2 linked regions of the Lytechinus pictus genome follow. The protein of the gene in region 2 purifies or fractionates together with the protein of the main gene of each other region. This does not show direct contact. Links are inferred from orthologs where the notes say so. Each region holds a gene or a part of one and is shown on either strand. Other genes may lie near its edges. The genes, in order: gem-associated protein 2-like and NCK-interacting protein with SH3 domain-like.

Region 1 (7,375 bases), about 32 Mb from region 2:
TTGTGTTTTGTCTGTCTGATTTTTCTTTATCTGTTTAAATCATATTATGCTCAGCCCGGAGCATTCATTTAAAGATGCAAAAAGGGGCTAAATTGTCATGTTTGGGGTTGTATTTTTGTACGAGGACGAATATGTTGAGGTAAAAACTGCAGACTTGTCCAATTACGTGAACGAAAAAAGACTCTGTCCATTTCCCCAGTGATTCCCATTCTAACGAACTGATCATTTACATAATAGTAGGGGCCTTGGAGTCACCCCCATGTTGTCACAAAAGTTCTATATTTTTTATTCATTCATTGTATTTCATTGTACAATGATATTTATATTGTAATAGTAGTAGTAGGAAAATAAGAAATAGTAGTAGGAAAATAAGAAATAATTGTTCATTATAATGTTATCATTTTATATACTATATTATGATTACGTTATGTTATATTACATAATATTATAAGAATCATTTTTTTCATAACTTTATGAAACATAATTTGCTCAGGGCCCATATTATTCCTGGTGCTCGCATTGTCTGTTTAACGAGATATACATGTATAATCCTGTTGTACTAAAACCTCCCGTTTTCAAGTCAATATTCACCAAATATATTTCCTCGCAATTCGAGTTATTATCGTTTTATGTAGTGACATATGCTTCTTTTTCATGACTTCATAAAGTGATTGCCTCATTTTAAGGTCTTGATATAAAACATTTCCTGTCCGTGCTTACGTTCACATTAGTGGATTGGTGAGGTATGTCTGCTCTTTGTGAATTCCTAAAATCAGTCCTTAAAAAAAATATTTGATTAGTACATGATTACAGTGACGACAAGTGCTTCATGTGTTCAGATGTAATTCTAACAAAATCAGCAAGCGCTTGGCACTCGCATTTATTTATTGATTTATTAGATGGCTATGCTGAGATATGTATACTCTTAATGGGTTCCTAAAATATAGTCCTTAAAATGTCCTTGTTTGGGGTCAATATATACAAAAATTCAGCTCGCGCTTCGCGCTCGCATTGTTTGTTTTGCGAAACAGGTACGCATCATGATTACACAAATTTGCTTATAATGTCCCTTTTCAGGTCTAAATACTAAAAATGTTCAGCTCGCGCTACGCGCTCGCATTGTTTGATCAGTGAGATGCATATCCGTTTAATGGCACTGTCCTTAACCTGGTAACTGAGCGCTTCGCGCGCTCACTAAGTGACTCAAATTTTTTGCTGGTGCCCCCCCCCCCAATGCCATGACCCAAGGTCGCAACTGGTTCAGCGTTATGCATGCATGAGAGTTTATTGGAAGAATCAACACAATTATTTTTAACATATTCGATTTTGTTAATTTCAAACAAATTAGAATATAATGGATTTGGAATGTAGACTTTGATGTTTTTCATCAAGCGATAATTAATTCTTCAAATGAATAAAATTTGAAATTAATTATGATTGCAATAGTGATTTCATTGGTTTGAGAACAGCCAGTTGCTTTGTCGTGTTCCTACCTTTTCTTTTCAATTTGTGCCCATGAAGAGAATGACTGAAATAAACTTTGTAAAAGCTAATTGAATACGCTCTCTTGTAATGATAATTATATTTCAGACCTGTAGCTTGGAGGGGGGGGGGGGGGATTCCGGGGATTCCGCGGAACCCTGCCATTTGCCAACACACACACACACACACACAAATCTGGAAGAAACCGGGAAGTGAAGAAGGAAGGAGATGCAAGAGAAGAAGGAAAGGGAAAATGATAAGAAAATGAAGAACAGCGAATGGAACATTTTTTGAAGAAAAAAAACTTAGGTCATTATATGAAACGAAAAAAAAATCGCTTGCTTTGCGATAACGTAGCCTTGAATGAGATAATAATCTAATCAAGAGGACAACTCGCCCACCATTCGAGTCTCTTTACCTCGTTTCAGCGAAATACGGATCCTGTCCATGGTTACAATAAAGAGCTGAATATCAAACATTTCAGCTCGCGCTACGCGCTTGCACTATTTGACTATAGCGAGATGCATATCATATTCCTGAATTACAACAACCAATCGATCCTTGAAATGGTCCCATTTCAGGTCAGTAGGCCTATATCAAAAATCTCAACACTTTGCATTCATAATAATTGTTTATTTAGAAATGCATCCAGTTCATTATTACAAAGGTGCCTTAGAATGTCTCGATTTTAGGACTTATAATCACCCCCCCCCCCCAAAAAAAAAAAAAAAAATCAACTCGAGCTTCGCGCTCCCATCAGATATAGTAACATCGATGTCATCTTCAACATTTCCATTTCTGGTCAGTATATGAAAAAAATCAACTCATACTCCCATTTATTTGTGTATTGAGATACTGTTCGTTCTTTATATATCAAAGCGTGCTTATATCCAGTTTTCGGATTAGAATGTCAACATTTTTCAGCATGCGCTTCTCGCTCTCATCCTTTCTATAGCAAGGCATTCTTTTCATGGGTACAAAAAGTGAATAGAATGTCCCATTTTAGGTCTAAACCTCAAAAAGCTAGCGATTTGCGTTTGCAATAAGTGTTTATCATGTTTATGGGATATATTAATTGTTCTTTATTAAAAACGTGCTCCATGACCAGAGTTTTCAGCTACCGCTTCTCGCTCACATATATTTAGATGAAATATCGATCCTGTTAACCAACACGAAGAGTGCGTACTATGTTCCGTTTTTTTTCGCCAAAATGAAAAAAAACCGAGAAAAATACAAAGCGGCGTCATTGCTTTTATATTCCATTAACGACGACGAGTAAAACTAATGAGAGCCAACTGCAGTACCAAGTATAATGAGCATTACAACTTTTCGAGATACGTTATCTAGCTCTAAATATGCAAATATAATCATTATCTAGGTTTTTTATATTTCATTAACATATAAATTAATAAGAAAATATAAAGCGCTTGTTATGTAAAAGATAAAGTATATTACTAGTATCTGATAGAAATTCCTGGTAAATTCTTAATGAGGTGAGAAATTCAACAGTATGGGATACTCCCACATGAAGAGCTATTTTTCAACTCAAATAAACATTCGTTTTCTTCTATTTTCACAAAATATCATTTTTCAATATAAGGAAAGGAGAGAGCACAAATTTTCAGTACTTGAAAGGCCGGTGTCCAATCATGTACTCCACTCTCCCCCCCCCCCCCTCCAAAAATGGAAATAGCAACATGTTGCAAATGAAAAAAAAGATGAGGGCAGAAATGAAAAAAAAAATGTGAATAATCTCTAAATCATTCAGACATAGCATGTAGCATTCCAAAGCCTGAACAAAATTTCATTCACATTGATGTAATCGTAAGGATTTTGGGATTTTTTTTCTTTCTTTAAACCTCTTACGAGGGACTTTATTTACATATCTATAATACAATATACAAATCACAAAATAAATACAAAAATCAATGCAATCAATCAATTAATGTATTCTAACAATCTTTCAATTTATTTTGTATTCTTATTCGTATAACGTTAGTGTCCAATGAATAAAATACTCTTTAAATTGCATCTCAGTTACGTAACGTGGTAAACAGAAAACCATGTCTGACGTTATCAAACGCCTTTTGAAAGTCTATGAACATTAAAACACCTGATTAATTCATTTTAGAATAATCAATAACATCTGGTACAATAAGTTGCACATTCTCTAAAGCCGACCTATGTTTCCTAAATCCCGATGGATCATTCGAAATAATATGAGGTATAATTTGTTTCACTCTCTTTACCAAGACGCCTGTAGCTATTTTATAATCAATGTTAACTGAGTAATGATATTGGTCTCCAATTTTCTAATAAAATTAAGCTTTCCCCGCCCTTTTATGTAATAATGTTAGCACAGCTTGAATGATTGGTAGTGCGATATGGTGTGTAATCCCGTAGGATTTTTTTGCCAAAATTGATTTTTTGATGGGGTTCAAATTTTCAGACCCCTTCTTCCCTTCGTGGGGGTCCTTTCTTAAGCTAGCGCTAAGTAAAGTAAACCATCGCCAATTTATTATAACATTTACCACAAGAAGGGATCTCCAGTCGTTCTTAAAGTCGCTCTTAACTTACGAACAGCTTTATGAAACACCCACCGGGTAGGTGTAGTACCGTACTATACTACCGTACCGTACGAGCAACTTTCGATTTGAATTGAGCATGTCGAGGGTAGAACTAGAAGCACTATAACGCCCGGGATCATGGATGAACTACTTCCTCAAGCTTTACCAATTGGAGGTCCAGAAGTTTCAGGTGATCTCGAAGAAGACAATAATAGGGCACCAGCCACTGCTGAAGAATATCTACAACGGGTTAGGTAAGGACATTTTGAGAAAAAATATCACTAAAAAAGAGCTGCTGCTGGGCAAATGCGCCGCTTGTCCCACGTATTTATTATTGTGTAAGTTCACTGTAAGTGAATCTGAGCTGTGCAAAAAAAAGCTAATTTTTTATTCGGCCAACCCAGTCGAAAAGTAGTGCTAAATTGACTTCGTATCCAGCCCAAAATGCACATTTTAATTAATGAATTATAGGCCTAACTCAAATTTGGCCCAGATTTTCTTCTTAACGTCAGAATTTACATCGATGTTTGCGTCAGACGACTAACGTCAACGACTTTTACTTGTTACTGACTCGAGGATGAGGTCAATGTAGTTGAATTGATCAAAATGTATTGTTAGTCTTTATTCTTAGACTGATACTATTCATTTATTGATAAATCTGCTGTTTCGGAGCCGGAGGAGTTTTTCAACATTTTCTGATTTTTTTTTGTCCTCCACGCCACTCTAACTCTAAGCACCAAGGCTATTAATTCCTGTGTTAAAAAAGTGAGTGCACGCGAATTAAATGTTGGACTTAAATTACTAGATCTTACCATGGAGCTCCATGACAAAATCTGTTCTTAAATTAGACTCTAGATATTACTAAATTGAAAAAATGTATAAATAGTACTCGCCTGGTCTTTTCTTGGGGTATTGAAGCCTTTTTGTCCAGAACTTGCTCAACTTTTGCGGCAAATTTTGTCGCCATAGGGTTGTGCACATTCTCGTTTAATACTGGTTGTCACGTGACACGGCAATGTCGTTAGGCTGTTTGGCCTGTATTCAAGGCGTTCTATCCGTTATGATTTTATATTGAATGAAGCTAATTCCATCAGGTATAGGCCCCTATCAAGTCAAAATCGATACAGGGATCGAGAGGTGGGGGGTGGAGCCAAAAATTTCCCAGTCACATGGTATGAAAATGATATTTTTTATGACTGTCCACGATCATTAGGGCAAACCCGTGTGTGGCAGTACGGTAGCGTGATGAGTAAAAAAAAAAGAAAAGAAAAGAAAGAAAGAGGGCCAATGTAGGCATACATGGCGCGTGGGAATAAAGTTGCTTTATATGTTCCAAGCGAGTGAAGCAAGCGAGAAAAAAACTTTTCGTGCAAATCTAAATTTGAGATAGATATCTTAACTTACACTTTTCCTTTTCTTTTCATTAATTCCCTTCATTTCTTTTTTATCTTGGTTGTTGAACTTTCGGGGGCCCCTAGGCCTAACCCTTCCATCGTGTACCCCCAGTGCAATATTAGCAGGTGGGTCTCGATAACTCTGGATATTTAGCAATTAGACCTATTTATAGAAAAACATAACGTTAATGTTTTGACCCCTTCCCCCCAAAAAAAAAGGAAAAACAATTATAAACTAAGTTATATACATCCCCCTTTTCTCATTTCGCTTTTTATTTTCTCTATTCCCTCCTTATTTTTTTTTGGGGGGGAGGGACCTTTTCGGGGGGCACCGCCCCTAGCTACGCGCCTACCAGATGAAGAGGCGAGCGAGCAAAACCTTTGTCACTTTTATTACAAATATCAATTTTGCAATAGATTTTGACATAACATTCGGAATTATTCTCGCATGCATTTTTCTTTCCTTTTGCTTTTTTATGGCCTTTTATTTCTCTTCCCTTTCTCTTTCTGTCTTTCTTTCTTTCTTTTCCTTCCTTCATTCCTTTTCTCTTATCCCGTTTTTTTTTGGGTGAAATCCACTGGACCGGGGATCAAGGGCCAGCCTGCATGCCCCCGGCGGTTTACGCCTCTGCCGTGGATGTAAGCTATATATACGCATGATCTTAATCTTCATTATGATTCAAACTATATAGAGGCGCATCCAAGATTTTCCAAATTAAGTAGGGGGGGGGGGGCGGGGTGAATTTTCTCAAGTAAAATTTGACAACTCCCAAAAAAGGTTCTTACTAAAAAAAAAAAAAACGGTCATTATATTGTCTCGCGTAAAGTTTGACAAGTTAAAAAAAAATGGTCACTCAAAATGAAAGTCATTTTGTCCGCGTAATATTCGGCAAGCCCCCCCCCCCCACAAAAATAAGAAAAGGGAAAGTCATTTTGTCCACGTGATATTTGGCAACCCCCCCCCCCAAAAAAAAAAAAAAAAAAAAAAAAAAAAAAAAGGTTTTAACTATAGCAATGATCGAAGGTCATTTTGTCTCGCGTAAAATTTGACAATTTTTTTATAACGTTGTCACTAAAAAGAAGGTCATTTTTTCCACCATTTATTATATTTGGCAAGCCCCCAACCCCCACCCCCATAAAAAAAAGTTTGTCCCTAAAAGTGATGTATAGAAAGTCATATTGTTAATTTGTTCCCAGTAAAATTTTGAATTTGGCAATTAAAAAAAAAGGCAAAAAAGAGAAAAGAATATGAACGAAATATCCCCATTACAAATAATGCTGTACGTGATTCTCATGAGGGGGGGGGGCACTTAACTAGTATTAATAACATATTTAATTCCAAAATGTTTACTATAAATCTCAAAAGGGGGAACGGGCAGAAATGCTCACCCCAACCCCCCCCCTCCCCCCCCCCCCCCCCGCCACTGATTCCAATCAATAATGACTTTTCTCTGCAATACTGATGCTTTGAAATCAAGATACTGAAGATTGATACGCTTAACATAAATTATGAACGTCTGACAAAAAGATAACCAACCGATCACCTGACCGATCAGCTGACCAGTACGCGTATCACTTCGGAGTTGATCACTCGTCGCAGCTGTGTGGAACGCTCACCGAAAATCAACAAAAAGGGCCTGAAATGTAAGTTTAACAATAATCGATTTTAATTTCAACTATTTTTACAACTAAATAAAGGTTTGCCGTCCGAATGAAAGGTATATCGGATAACTCTAACTTGTATTAAGGTGTACAATACCAAAGTCTTGGGTTGGAAATCAGAACAGCATTGTCCAACCCATAATTTGGGTAATGTCGCCTATGAGGTCCATACATGTTAATGTTTGGACCTCATTGGTACTAGGAGTGCTCCACGCCACCTACACAGTCACAGATGGATGATGGCCATTGGGCTCGTAGTGATGGAGCTCC
Region 2 (8,143 bases):
GAGTGGGCACTCACACTCGTGCGAGGTTAGTATTAGTATGATGGGGTGTCCAAACTTTGCGAACATTTAAAGAATATTCATCATGCTTAAATTTGTTCACAAAATATTCACAATTTATACAAAACCAATTTCAAAACAAGTGGAACGCCTCTGGCAGTCTCGCCTGCATTACGCAATTCGATATAGCAGCAGTGCTTCCTTTGAAAAACAGCTAATGAATAATTATTCACAGAAGAAAACACTAATATAATAAAATATTATGTCCATTGACCCAGAATGACCTTTGACCATGATCATGTGACCTAAGACATGTGCAAAACAATCATTCATACTTGATTACCCTTATGTCGATGTTTCATGAGCAAGTACCATAAACTTCCTAAGTTATAATGCCAATTCAACACATACCCCCAACACGGCCAGAGTTCATTGACCATTAAATGACCTTTGATCTTGGCATGTTCCTGAAACACACACAGGGTATTCAGAGATACATTGCTGCTCTTATATCCAAGTTTCATGAACTAAATCCATAGACTTTTAAAGTTATGATGACAACTAACATTACCGAAGTTTGCTGATCCTTAATGACCTTTGACCTTGATCATGTGACCTGAATCTAGCACAGGATGTCCAAAGATTCTTGATTGCTCTTATGTCCAAGTTTCATGAACTAGATCCATAAAATTTCAAAGTTATGACAATTCCTCAAATACCCCCAATATGGCCATAGTTCACTGACCCTAAGTGACCTTTGACCTTGGTCATGTGACCTGAAACTTGCGCATGATATTCAGGAATACATGGTTGCTCTTATGTCCAAGTTTCATGAACTAGATCCATAAACTTCTAAAGTTATGACAATTCCTCAAATAACCCTAACATGGCCAAAGTTTGTTGACCCTAAGTGACCTTTGACCTTAATCATGTGACATGAAACTCAGGCAGGATATTCAGTGATACACTATTACCCTTATAGTTTTATGAACTAGGTCTATACACTTTTGAAGTTATGACAACATTTCAAAAACATAACCTAGGTTAGGATTTCGATATTGATTCCCCCAACATGGCCATAGTTCATTGACCCTAAGTGACCTTTGACCTTGGTCATGTGACCTGAAACTCGCGCATGATATTCAGGAATACATGGTTGCTCTTATGTCCAAGTTTCATGAACTAGATCCATAAACTTCTAAAGTTATGACAATTCCTCAAATAACCCTAACATGGCCAAAGTTTGCTGACCCTAAGTGACCTTTGACCTTAATCATGTGACATGAAACTCAGGCAGGATATTCAGTGATACACTATTACCCTTATAGTTTTATGAACTAGGTCTATACACTTTTGAAGTTATGACAACATTTCAAAAACTTAACCTAGGTTAGGATTTCGATATTGATTCCCCCAACATGGCCATAGTTCATTGACCCTAAGTGACCTTTGACCTTGGTCATGTGACCTGAAACTCGCGCATGATATTCAGGAATACATGGTTGCTCTTATGTCCAAGTTTCATGAACTAGATCCATAAACTTCTAAAGTTATGACAATTCCTCAAATAACCCTAACATGGCCAAAGTTTGTTGACCCTAAGTGACCTTTGACCTTAATCATGTGACATGAAACTCAGGCAGGATATTCAGTGATACACTATTACCCTTATAGTTTTATGAACTAGGTCTATACACTTTTGAAGTAATGACAACATTTCAAAAACATAACCTAGGTTAGGATTTCGATATTGATTCCCCCAACATGGTCTAAGTTCATTGACCCTAAATGACCTTTGACCTCGGTCATGTGACCTGAAACTCAGGCAGGATGTTTCATGAACTAGGTCCATTAAGTTATGATGGCATTTCAAAAACTTAACCAAGGTAAAGATTTCAATGTTGACGCCGCCGCCGTCGGAAAAGCGGCGCCTATAGTCTCGCTCTGGCGAGACAAAAAGCTACCACATTGACGGCAAGATCATAAACTATAAAATCAGTGACAAAAATGTTAAGTAGGTCAAGGGGTTTTGCCCTTATTGCGATCTCAAAATTCTATTCCGATCGATGAATGCGCGCTGTGCTGGAAATCCGTTCAGAAAAAGTGTGACCTAACTTCGCGGTCCAAAGTTTTGTTGAGATTTAAACAAAAAAATCGAGCTAAAAAAAATGAGATATTTATATCAGATGTACAGCAAAATGCTATAGAATCGGTCAGTATGTTTTCCATTTTTTATGGTATCTGCTTGCAAAAAGATGATATCGTGATGCCTGTTGGGAGGTTAAGATTTTTTTGGAATGGGTGCCGATGATGGTGAAAAATTTGCTGATCTTTTGTCAATCCTTTCAAGAATAATGAACTCATCCTTAAGAAACTTTCGCTAGAGTGTAATTTTAGGTTGCTTTTCATGTTGATGTCAGATTTTTTGGATATTCAATAGTTTTTTAGATGGACACACATGAAGTTTGGACTCACTACCATATACTAACCTCACACCACTCATTCAATGAACAAGGTTATTATAACCCTGTTCTCTGTTACTATTCCCTGTGTGGTGAAATAATGTTGGCAATGATTGGCTTATTTTCTCTTGTTTTGGGGGGACAAATGCTTGATTTTTTTTAACACTGTCAGTTTCCATTACAACCATTCATCATATAACTTGGTTCTTTAATTAAATTGAAGTCTTTTAATTATTTTTTCTAAATTAACAAGGCAAAAGCAATTTTGTGTCTCGCCCACTTATGAAAATGACCAGAAATATCGTGATTTGCGAGGGCACGCAAGAGAATTATATCGAAACTGCATTGTGAAATGACTGGGATGGAATAACACTTGTCATAAGAGCCTTACACGTAAACTTTAATGTTGACCTGAAAATGACCTTACCATGTGACCTCCGACTGCAGCATAACATGCAGGTCCCCCAAGTCCATCTACCATCCAAGTTTGGTTGAAAAGCGACTTACAGATGCGGAGTTAGGTGTCATAAGAGAGTCTTGCATGTAAACTATAACGTTGACCTGAAAATGACCTTTGACCTTACCATGTGACCTCTGACTGCAGCATAACATGCAGGTCCCCCAAGTCCATCTACCATCCAAGTTTGGTTGAAAAGTGACTTATGGTTGGGTAGTTAGGTGTCATAAGAGAGTCTTGCATGTAAACTTTTAACGTTGACCTGAAAATGACCTTTGACCTTACCATGTGACCTCCGACTGCAGCATAACATGTAGGTCCCCCAAGTCCATCTACCATCCAAGTTTGGTTAAAATGCGACTTACGGTTGCAGAGTTAGGTGTCATAAGAGAGTCTTGCATGTAAACTTTAATGTTGCCCTGAAAATGACCTTTGACATTATCATGTGACCTCCGACTGCAGCATAACATGCAGGTCCCCCAAGTCCATCTACCATCCAAGTTTGGTTGAAAAGTGACTTTCGGTTGCGGAGTTAGGTGTCATAAGAGAGTCTTGCATGTAAACTTTAACGTTGACCTGAAAATGACCTTTGACCTTACCATGTGATTTCTGACTGCAGCATAACATGCAGGTCCCCCAAGTCCATCTACCATCCAAGTTTGGTTAAAATGCGACTTACGGTTGCGGAGTTAGGTATCATAAGAGAGTCTTGCATGTAAACTTAACGTTGACCTGAAAATGACCTTTGACCTTACCATGTGACCTATAACTTCAGCATAACATGCAGGTCCCCCAAGTCCATCTACCATCCAAGTTTGGTTGAAAAGCGACTTACGGTTGCGGAGTTAGGTGTCATAAGAGAGTCTTGCATGTAAACTTTAACGTTGACCTGAAAATGACCTTTGACCTTACCATGTGACCTCTGACTGCAGCATAACATGCAGGTCCCCCAAGTCCATCTACCATCCAAGTTTGGTTGAAAAGTGACTTATGGTTGGGTAGTTAGGTGTCATAAGAGAGTCTTGCATGTAAACTTTTAACGTTGACCTGAAAATGACCTTTGACCTTACCATGTGACCTCCGACTGCAGCATAACATGTAGGTCCCCCAAGTCCATCTACCATCCAAGTTTGGTTAAAATGCGACTTACGGTTGCAGAGTTAGGTGTCATAAGAGAGTCTTGCATGTAAACTTTAATGTTGACCTGAAAATGACCTTTGACATTATCATGTGACCTCCGACTGCAGCATAACATGCAGGTCCCCCAAGTCCATCTACCATCCAAGTTTGGTTGAAAAGTGACTTTCGGTTGCGGAGTTAGGTGTCATAAGAGAGTCTTGCATGTAAACTTTAACGTTGACCTGAAAATGACCTTTGACCTTACCATGTGATTTCTGACTGCAGCATAACATGCAGGTCCCCCAAGTCCATCTACCATCCAAGTTTGGTTAAAATGCGACTTACGGTTGCGGAGTTAGGTATCATAAGAGAGTCTTGCATGTAAACTTAACGTTGACCTGAAAATGACCTTTGACCTTACCATGTGACCTATAACTTCAGCATAACATGCAGGTCCCCCAAGTCCATCTACCATCCAAGTTTGGTTGAAAAGCGACTTACGGTTGCGGAGTTAGGTGTCATAAGAGAGTCTTGCATGTAAACTTTAACGTTGACCTGAAAATGACCTTTGACCTTACCATGTGACCTCCGACTGCAGCATAACATGCAGGTCCCCCAAGTCCATCTACCATCCAAGTTTGGTTGAAAAGCGACTTACGGTTGCGGAGTTAGGTGTCATAAGAGAGTCTTGCATGTAAACTTTAACGTTGACCTGAAAATGACCTTTGACCTTACCATGTGACCTCCGACTGCAGCATAACATGCAGGTCCCCCAAGTCCATCTACCATCCAAGTTTGGTTGAAAATCGACTTACGGTTGTGGAGTTATGTGTCATTAAGTTTGTGACGGACGGACGACGGACGACATTTGGATCCCTAAGTCTCGCCTTCACCTCCGGTGGGCGAGACAAAAATAGAGATTTAACAAGTGGAACGCCTCTGGCAGTCTCGCCTGCATTACGCAATTTAATATAGCAGCAGTGCTAACTTTGAAAACTACTATAAAATAATCATTAAAAAAAAACACCATTCATACTGTATAATGACATAATACCATGTTCATTGACCATAAATTACATTTGAATGGAGACTTAAGACTGTCAACTACACCCATGTCCACATTTCATTCACTCTATCCATAAACTTTCAAAGTTATGATGGCAATTCAACAATTACCCCAACATGGCCTAAGTTTATTGACCTTAACTGACCTTTGACTTGGTTTTGTGACCTGAAACTCACAGGGGATGTTCAGTGATGCTTGATTACTCTTATATCCCAAGTTTTATGAACTAGATTCATAAACTTTCAGAGTTAGGATGGTAATTGAACAAATACCCCCAACACGGCCAAAGTTCATTGACCTTTAATGACCTTTGACCATGGTCATGTGACCTGAAACTCGTACAGGATGTTCAGTGATACTTGATTACTCTTATGTCCAAGTTTCATGAACTAGATCCATAAATTTTCAAAGTTATGATGGTAATTCAACAAATACCCCCAACTTGGCCAAAGTTCATTGACCCTAAATGACCTTTGACCTTGGTCATGTGACCTGAAACTCAGGCAGGATGTTTACTAATACTTGATTAACCTTATGTCCAAGTTTCATGGACTAGATCCATAAATTTTAAAAGTTATGATAGTAATTCAACAAATACCCCCAACTTGACCAAAGTTCATTGACCCTAAATGACCTTTGACCTTGGTCACGTGACCTGAAACTCGAGCAGGATGTTCACTAATACTCGATTAACCTTATGCCCAAGTTTCATGAACTAGGTCCATATACTTTCTTAAGTTATGATGTCATTTCAAAAACTTAACCTTCGGTTAAGATTTTGAAAATAATTTTCCCAACATGGTCTAAGTTCATTGACCCTAAATGACCTTTGACCTTGGTCATGTGACCTGAAACTCAGGCAAGATGTTAACTAATACTTGTGTAGGATTGTTAATTTGTCATTTACCTATTTTGTTTATTTCCTTTGACTTGTGTTTTCTTCAGGTGTTTTACATTTCTGTTCTGTCTAGACTTTAGTTCATTTGCATTTCTTTTCAGTACTGCCCTTGCAGTCTGGACTTAGGTTATTTGAGTTTAATGATATTCAGTTGTCATTCATTCATTCTACTCTGAATGCCTTTCCTGTGTTTCTCTTGTCATCTTCATTCCTTCTCTATTCTCTCTTCAGGTGTTCCACTCATTCCATCCCTCACCTGACTCCTTAGTTTCTACTTCCATTATTACATAATCACCAGACATCTTTGTCATCTCATCTCATTCCTTATTGGTTTATCTTATGAATTGGGTTCTTACATTTTAGTTCGATCCTTCCATTTTCTTTAGTTTGATTGGTTGTTATTTCTAATTTAAATATTTATGTAAATTATACTGTGATCCAAAGTTAAGCTGAGGCAAAATAGCCCAGATATTAAACAGTGTACAACCAGACTCCTTCGGTTTAAGTTATCTTCATTTTGCGTCTGCTTCATTCCCCTTCAGTTTGATGATTTAGAACTTCCATTTATTTTCAACTCCAAACATATAATTTTCTTCAACCCTACAACTGGTGGCAGCGGTGCTTCGAACCTTATGCCTCGCTTATCTGTTCGCCACAAACTTTCAATCATATTTCGTCAACTTTATCGTCATCATGTTCCTGTTGGAGAAACATTTAGCCCTTCATACATGTACTTCTGTTCAGCCGTTACTTCTTGCCTGATTGATGCTAGCCAGCAGCTCGCCTATAACTTCAACGTCAATGCTGTGGCTTGTCTAGTAGGATGATGCTACTACCAGCCAGTCTTCGCCTTTAGCTCTATACCTGAGTGGATGAAAGCCTTGCCTGAGTACCAGCTCGGATCTTCGCCTATTGCTCTTTGTGAGTGGATAAACGTTCTGCCTGATTACCAGCCAACCTTCGCCTTTTTCTCAACGTGAGTAGATGAAAGTTCTGCCTGCGAGTCAGCCTCTCGCCTTTAACTACAACCATTGCCCGACTACATGGAGTGGATGATGTCGCTGCCTATTTTTCTTCATTCAGTCTCTTCGGCTCAACAGTCTCCCACCTTTGCCTCATGATGCCTTCCAGCCTCTCGCCTTGCTTCTCTTCGTCGAGTGAATGATGCTGCCTTTTGGTCTTCATGTTGCTTTGTCCCTTTATCTTCGCTCGATGCATGACACCTTCCAGCCTCTCGCCTGTTACTCTGTCGCCTACGCATCTAGAGTTGATGACGCTCTGCTTTGATCTTCGAAGCCAGCCGCCACCTTTTGCTCTTCAGTTGCTCCAGCCCATGAGTGGATGATGCTGTTCCCCTGGTCTTCATGCATACAGTGAAAACTTTTCGCCCCCTAAGAAGGTCCGATATTCAACAACTTGAACTTGATGTCTCCATTTTACCACCAGACTACATTCTTCTCTCAAACTCAAACTTTATTTGGAACTTTTGGACAATTTATTTCCCTGATGGTGAGAACACTAACAATTTTCATTAAATTTTGTCACAGATTTTAAATTTGTTGAAAAATATAAAAATGATTTCTGTGATCATTAAATTCCCTTAACTTTACATTTATGCAATTTTTGTTTATTAAATAATTTTGTATCAGATTGATCTATGGAATAATCTTGCCAAATGTATTAATAAGTTCTATTCAATTAATTTCATACAAAAACGATAGATATTTACTATGATAGCCAAATTCTAAGTTCAAATAGCATTTTATCAATTTTTAGATAAATTATGTATCCAAACTGATCTATTTCTTTATATACTGTAAAAGGCATATACACAAATTCCAGTATTTTATTTATACTCGAGTGTTTTCTTATACACAAATGAATTCGATTAAAAAAAGCAATCATTTTTTTTATCAAACCCATATATTTGATTCTTAACTGGAATTAATCACATGCCTTATTTTGATTTAATGTTGGGCTTATATAGAAACATTTTTTTTTAGCAAGATTATTCAAATTCTACAAAAGTATATTTTTGTTTTATTGAATCAGATAATTTTCTTTAGGTATTTATTTGTCTTAAATTGGTGTCTTAAATGTACATAAATAGAAATATATTTACGATTTGTCAATAATCGAGTGAT

The links.
Region 1: the proteins of NCK-interacting protein with SH3 domain-like (region 2) and gem-associated protein 2-like purify together in Homo sapiens (co-immunoprecipitation; 3 studies listed by BioGRID and IntAct, counting the BioPlex papers as one, with this or other methods). This does not show direct contact. The link is inferred for Lytechinus pictus from reciprocal best matches to the Homo sapiens genes NCKIPSD and GEMIN2.

The regions. Positions count from the first base shown.
Region 1 is NC_087247.1:36,677,372-36,684,746, reverse strand, and holds the start of gem-associated protein 2-like, read left to right. Parts: upstream 1-4,134; 5' UTR 4,135-4,187; coding exon 4,188-4,303; intron 4,304-7,375. UniProt on the Homo sapiens protein: The SMN complex catalyzes the assembly of small nuclear ribonucleoproteins (snRNPs), the building blocks of the spliceosome, and thereby plays an important role in the splicing of cellular pre-mRNAs.
Region 2 is NC_087247.1:69,146,104-69,154,246, forward strand, and holds the start of NCK-interacting protein with SH3 domain-like, read right to left. Parts: upstream 3,179-8,143; 5' UTR 2,934-3,178; coding exon 2,887-2,933; intron 1-2,886. UniProt on the Homo sapiens protein: Has an important role in stress fiber formation induced by active diaphanous protein homolog 1 (DRF1). Induces microspike formation, in vivo. In vitro, stimulates N-WASP-induced ARP2/3 complex activation in the absence of CDC42.